2 linked regions of the Canis lupus familiaris genome follow. The protein of the gene in region 1 purifies or fractionates together with the protein of each later gene. This does not show direct contact. Links are inferred from orthologs where the notes say so. Each region holds a gene or a part of one and is shown on either strand. Other genes may lie near its edges.

What was found. Proteins that work in one complex are often made in the same cells at the same time.
Region 2: the proteins of JUN (region 1) and cyclic AMP-dependent transcription factor ATF-7 purify together in Homo sapiens (affinity purification with mass spectrometry; 3 studies listed by BioGRID and IntAct, with this or other methods). This does not show direct contact. The link is inferred for Canis lupus familiaris from reciprocal best matches to the Homo sapiens genes JUN and ATF7.

Annotation. Positions count from the first base shown.
Region 1 is NC_049226.1:51,325,657-51,328,813, reverse strand, and holds JUN (transcription factor AP-1), read right to left. Parts: upstream 1,835-3,157; 5' UTR 1,619-1,834; coding exon 593-1,618; 3' UTR 503-592; downstream 1-502. UniProt on the Homo sapiens protein: Transcription factor that recognizes and binds to the AP-1 consensus motif 5'-TGA[GC]TCA-3'.
Region 2 is NC_049248.1:44,957,647-44,961,297, forward strand, and holds part of cyclic AMP-dependent transcription factor ATF-7, read right to left. Parts: intron 2,383-3,651; coding exon 2,245-2,382; intron 1-2,244. UniProt on the Homo sapiens protein: Stress-responsive chromatin regulator that plays a role in various biological processes including innate immunological memory, adipocyte differentiation or telomerase regulation.

The sequences.
Region 1 (3,157 bases):
TACACAGTTAAGGAAGGCAGGCCAGAAAAGAGTTCATCTGCAGGCTCAGCCTCGCTCTCACAAACCTCCCTCCCGCCTCCCCTCCCCCAACACCCCCCCTCCTCCCCTTTGTGTTCTTAAGGAGTACTACAGAAGCAATCTACAGTCGCTATTGCAGTTTGGAACCCTTCCCCCTCCCTCCCCCCCCCCCACCCCTTTAATACTGAATGAGATCGAATGTTAGGTCCATGCAGTTCTTGGTCAATGTTAAAGAAAAGTCTAACGTTCTGTTCGCGCGGGGACAGCCCGTCCGCAAAGCGGGGCAGCCCGCGGGCAGCCGCTCCCTGGCCCCGTGCCAGGGGAGGGCGCGCCAAGTCCTTCCCACTCGTGCACACTGGGGGCGCCGTCAGGACGCCGCCCAGTCCAACTTGGATACCCTTGGCTTTAGTCCTTGGACACTTCTTGTCTCTCTCGCTCTCTCTTGCAACTTGTCAAGTTCTCAAGTTCTCTCGCTCTCGCTCTCTGTGTGTGTGTGTGGTTTTTTTTTTTCTCCTCTCTCTCTCTCTCTCTCTCCTCTCTCTCGGTTGCCCCTCAAGCCCCCGACAGTCTGTCCTCAAAACGTTTGCAACTGCTGCGTTAGCATGAGCTGGCACCCACTGTTAACGTGATTCATGACTTTCTGTTTAAGCTGTGCCACCTGTTCCCTGAGCATGTTGGCCGTGGACGCCAGCTCCGAGTTCTGCGCTTTCAAGGTTTTCACTTTTTCCTCCAGCCGGGCGATCCTCTCCAGCTTCCTTTTCCGGCACTTGGAGGCAGCTATGCGGTTCCTCATGCGCTTCCTCTCGGCCTTGATCCTCTCTTGCGACTCCATGTCGATGGGGGACAGGGGCGGCGTCTCCCCGGGCATCTCGGGCACCGTCTGCGGCTCCTCCTTCAGGGCCTGCAGGCGCGGGTGCTGCACGGGGAGCTGCTGGGGCAGGTGGTGCGGCGCTTGCGGGGGCTGCTGCGGCTGCTGCGGCTGCTGCTGCTGCTGGGGCTGCGCGGGAAAGGCCAGGCCGGCCGCGCCGTAGGAGGGCGCCCCGCCGCCGCTGCTCAGCGCGCCCGGGTTGAAGTTGCTGAGGTTGGCGTAGACCGGCGGCTCGCTGTGCAGGCCCGCGCTGAAGCCGCCGCCGCCGCCGCCGCCGCCCGCCGCGGAGGCCACCGCCGGGGCCACCATGCCCGCGCCGCTGACCGGCTGCGCCGCCGACGTGACGCTGGGCAGCGTGTTCTGGCTGTGCAGCTCGGCCAGGGCGCGCACGAAGCCCTCGGCGAAGCCCTCCTGCTCGTCCGTCACGTTCTTGGGGCACAGGAACTGCGTGGGGGTCGGCGTGGTGGTGATGTGCCCGTTGCTGGACTGGATGATCAGGCGCTCCAGCTCGGGCGAGGCCAGCTTGAGCAGCCCCACGTCGGGCGAGGTGAGCAGGTCCGAGTTCTTGGCCCGGAGGTGCGGCTTCAGGCTGCCCACCGGGTCGGCCAGGTTCAGGGTCATGCTCTGCTTCAGGATCTTGGGGTTACTGTAGCCGTAGGCGCCGCTCTCGGACTGCAGGAACGAGGCGTTGAGGGCATCGTCGTAGAAGGTCGTTTCCATCTTTGCAGTCATAGAACAGTCCGTCACTTCGCGCGGGGTTACTTTGGGCTGCGCGCAGAAGTTTCGGGGCCGCAACAGCGCGCTGGCGAGCGGGGGACCCCCGCGCCTCCCGGGTGGGGGGGGCGGCCCTGGGCTAGAGGAAAGTTTCTGGAGGGGCGCGCGCTCCCGCCGGCGGTCCTCCCCCCGCGCCCCGCTCACCGGCTCCGGCCGCCGCCGCGCTCCTCCTGGGTCAGCTGGCGCGCGCGCTGCCCGCCTCGGGGAAAAGTCGCGGTCACCCACGGGGCGCGCTCGGGGCGCTCTCGGGGCGCGGCGGCTCCCGGGGGCCCGCGGGCCCGCCCCCGCGGCGACAGGGGGAGGGGGCGCCGGGCAGCCGCGGCTCGCGCTCGCCCAAGTTCAGCCACCGGGGCGAGGGGCGCCGAGCGCACGTCCCTCCGCGGTCTCCTCGCTCCGCCGCCGCCTCTCTCGTCCCGGCCGCCGCCGCCGCCGCCGCCGCCGCCGCCGCAGCCGCCGCAGCCTCAGGCGCGGCAGAGCTTTGCAAAAGTTCGCTCCGGGACCCGGGCCACTCGTCCCCTGTGCTCCCGGCCAGGAAAGTTCTGAGCCGCCGCAGCCACTCTCTGCACTTGCGCGGACGGACCTGTCGCCGCTCTCCGCGCTGTCACGGCTCCCGGGCGGCGGGGCTCTCCTCCCGGGGGCGGCTGGAGAAGGGGGTTCTCCGGGCGCTCCCCGAAACACCAGCCCGGGAGCCACAGGCGCTAGCTCCGGCCAGTCGGCGAGGAAAATGCAAAACGGAAAGCGGATTTTGCAGCCCGGACTCTCCGGCCGTCTCGCCTGCCCGCGGCCGCCCGCCTCCCCGAGTCCGCGCTCCTCCACTCCCACCTCGCCGCCTCGGCCACACTCAGTGCAACTCTGAGCCCTTATCCAGCCGGAGCTCAACACTTATCTGCTACCAGTCAACCCCTAAAAATAGCCCATGATGTCACCCCAAGGCCTTCCCATTGGCTCGCGTCGCTCTCCAGGGGGCGGGCCCGCCCGTCGCCATGGAGACCCCACCCTAGAAGATTCTTCTCCGGCCCCGCGGAGGCTCACGGGATGAGGTAATGCTCCGCTGCCCTCCTACAGTTGGGCCCTTCTTTCTCCTCCTCCCCCTCCCCCTCCCCCTCCCCCTCCCCCCTCCCCCTCCCGCGCGGCTCGCGCCCGGCTCTGCCCCCGTCTCCTCCGCCGCGCGTCTTTCCCGGCCCGCCCGGTGCATTGTGGGCTGACGTCTTGGGATTTGACTGTCGGGTGACGGCGGCTGCCGCGAGCCGGGCGGACGCGGGCGGACGCGGGCGGACGCGGGCTCCCGCGGCCCGGGCGGGCTCCAGTTCAGGGCGCTGGCGGGAAGGCGCGGGGACCCGGCCAGGTGCCCGGGGCCGAGGGCGCGCGGGGTGCGGGGAGGGGTGCACCACTCGGGGCGCTCGAGGTCCTCCGCGGGCGCCGCGCCGCCTGCCGCGGCTGCAGGCCGAGCTCCGGGCCGGCGTCCCCCGCCCCCCCCCCGCACTTCCGGGGGGCGGG
Region 2 (3,651 bases), on another chromosome or scaffold:
GTAGCCTCAATGCCCAATGTGGGGCTTGAATTCATGACCCCAAGATCGAGAGTGACATGGTGCCTAAAAAGGAAGTCATGACTGAGTACTCTACTGATTGAGCCAGCCAGGCACCCTCAGACAGATCCCTTTTATTTTATTTTTTTAATTTTTATTTATTTATGATAGTCACACAGAGAGAGAGAGAGGCAGAGACACAGGCAGAGGGAGAAAGCAGGCTCCATGCACCAGGAGCCCGACGTGGGATTCAATCCCGGGTCTCCAGGATCGCGCCCTGGGCCAAAGGCAGGTGCCAAACCGCTGTGCCACCCAGGGATCCCAGACAGATCCCTTTTAAAGAGACTATGAAGTTTGAATAATGGTCATGTTGTAATAAAACAAACTGCTTCCCACTGTTAACTTGCTTAGGATCTTAGTTGCTATCAGCCACCCTGGTCCTCACGTACCTCTAGACAACCTTTAGGACCTGGTCCTGATGAAAGTGGGAGAGAGGAGGGACAGCTGTAATGTTTATGGAGGAGGTGGTTTGGGGAAATTATCAAACTAAATTTAGAAGGAAGTAAAATGAGGTACAGATGCTCTATCCACAGTGGACACTAAAAATAATAACCCCAGGTAGAGCAGTAGAGACTGGAAAGAGGCATGAGGGGGCTTCTGAGGTTCTGAGAATATCTGGGTGCTGGTTACACAGGTTGTAAACTGTGAAAATTCAGTGAGCTATATACTCACAATTCACGCACTTTTATGTATGTATGCTATATTTCAGTACATTTATAAAAAAACACTACTTCATAAAAAGTTTCCTTTAAAAAAAATAATACTCAGAATCCTAGTGGATTTTCTCTTTGAGTCACTAGAAGACTTCCTTCTAAGGAGATTTTTTTTCCAAAATTATTTGATGTCCAATTTATGAATTACACAATTTTTTCCCCCACTTAATAACTGAAGTATAGGGGCACCTGTGTGGTGCAGTCAGTTGGGTGGCTGACTCTTGGTTTTGGCTCAGGTCATGATCTCAGGCTTGTGAGATCAAGCTCCACAGGCCCCAGGTGAGCCTGCTTGGGATTCTCTCTCTCCCTCTGCCCCTCCCCACTCCTGTCTCTCAAAACAAACAAACAAACAAACAAACAAACAAACAAACAAACAAAAACCCAAAACCAAAAAACCCCAAATAACTGAAGTACAACATACATAGAGTACATTATTCTAAAGGATACAACTAAATGACTTTATATATGTAAAGTCAAGACAGAGCCCATTTCCAGCACCCTAGAATGTTTTCCTATGTCCCTTCCCATTCCATACCTTCCCTTTTGAGTTCTATCATCATGAAATAGTTTTGCCTCTTCTTGAACCTGATGTAAACAGGTCCTGTGTATACTTTCATGTCTGAATTTTGTTATTGTTGTTCAATATAATGTTTGTGGGGTTCACCCACATTGCTGTATCATTAGTTCATTCTTTTTTAATGCCATGTGGTATTCCATTTTATTTTATTTACTTTTAGAGAGAGGGGGGTAGGAGGGGGCAAAGAGAGAGAGAGACTTCATCAGGCTCTATGACCAGTGCGACATGGGGTTTGATCTCATGACCCTGAGATCACAATCTGAGCCGAAACCAAGAGTCAGATGCTTAACTGACTGAGCCACCTAGGCACCCCTAGTATTCCATTTTAGAAATATACCACTATTTATTTATTTATTTATTTATTTATTTATTTATTTATTTATTTATTCATTCATTCATTCATTCATTCATTCTCTTGTTGATGAACAGTTTTTGACGAATACAGCTATTATGAGCATTTTAATATGCTTTGATACAGTGGACACATGCACTAATTTCACTTCCATGTAGACTCAGAAGTAGAACTGCTGGGTCAGAGAATAGATATAATTTATACAAATCTTCTAAATAATGAACATTATTTAAATATAATCAATCCTGTATCACACATTATGCAACTATTGAATCAAAACTTAATCTACCTACCAATTAACATTTGGGATAATTTTTTTTCTTTAGAATTTTATTTATTTGAGAGAGAAAGCACGTGCAAGCAAGCAGAAGGAGCTGAGGGAGAGAGAATCTGAAGCAGACTCCCCACTGAAAACAGAGCCCAATGTGGGAATTGATCCCAAGACCCTGAGATCATGACCTGAGTTGGACACCTAAAGTTGGACACTTAATCAGTGGAGCCATCTAGGCGCTTCTGGGATAATTAATTCTTAGTAGATAATTTACCTTTTCCTTGAGTGGCGGGGAGCAGGGACTAGAGGCAGGGCTATCAGGTGGGGATGAGTCTACCTCCACTGGCTCTTCTTCTTTGATTTTGATGTCTGGTGTAGAAGGCAAAGACATGTCAAGGGGCCCAGCAGCAGCCTGTTAAAAGAGAGAAATAAGCATAGTTCAACCCCACGAGTCCCTACAGGCTGAATCAAAATCTTTCCAGTTAAAATACGAGGAAATAGAAATATGCTTTCTCTCCCCCCCCCCCCCACCTTTTTTAAAGTAAGCTCCACACCCAACGTACGGCTTGAACTCACAATCCTGAGATCAAGAGTTGCATATTCTACTGACTGAGCCAGCCAAGTGCACTGAGGAAAAATACTTCAAAGTTCAGTCCTCAAAGAACTGAACTGCAAGTCAAAGAACTAGGGAACCTAGGTTTCATGTACAACTCTGGCCAGATCATTTTAACTTCTTTGAACTTGTTTTTATTTTCTAAAAAAGAATCTCAAAATCTTTTAGATTTTTCTAAAAAATTTTTTAAAGGTTTTATTTATTTGAGAAAGTGGGCAAGAACATGAGCAGGGGGAGGGGCAGAAGGAGAGAGAGAGAGACACAGACTCCCTCGTGAGCAGGGAGCCCGATGTGGGGCTTGATGCCAGAACCCAGGGATCATGACTTGAGCCGAACGTGGCTGCTTAACAGACTGAGCTACCCAGGCACCCCAGAACTTCTGTTTTTCTAACTGTAAAATGGAAATAATGCGTGCTTCACCACAGTGATACTTATAAAGATCCTAAAAGGAAAAAAAAAAAAAAAACACACACAACGCTTATAATGTTTATAAAGACGCTGAAAGACAGAAAAAAAAAAAGTCATTTAAATCCATGCAAATATTATACCATTTTTCAGGAAAGTAAAATGATTCCTGAATCCAGTGCTTGCCTATTTCCAACCAGCTCTGCTGGCCACTGGAGGGCTGTGAGCACTTTTTCTGACAACCAGAAGGACTATTACCCAAGTATCAAAAGCAAACAAAGATAAATTAGCTATTGAAGTACTATAAATAAGATAGGAAAGATCTATTCTGGGGAACTTCCCATGCTTGATGGTGATTTCATCCCAAAATCTGGTGTTAGAGGCTAGAAGTTAGGAAGCTAGAGTTTTGGGATAATAAAGAAAAGAAAGGCTAGTGATTTGATCAGTTAAAGAAATTAGAACTTGGTCCTCGAAGCAGGACTGGGGAACACCAGAAAGGAGAAAGAATACTTTCCTGGCAGTGGTGAATCACTTCACAGAACTGTGGAGCCATAAATGGCTTTGCAGGGAACCATAAACCATCTGAGATGACGGCCCTGACACCACACCACGACAGGAGGGCTGGCACTGCAGTTTAGTTTCATGACAAGGTAGATCCTTTGT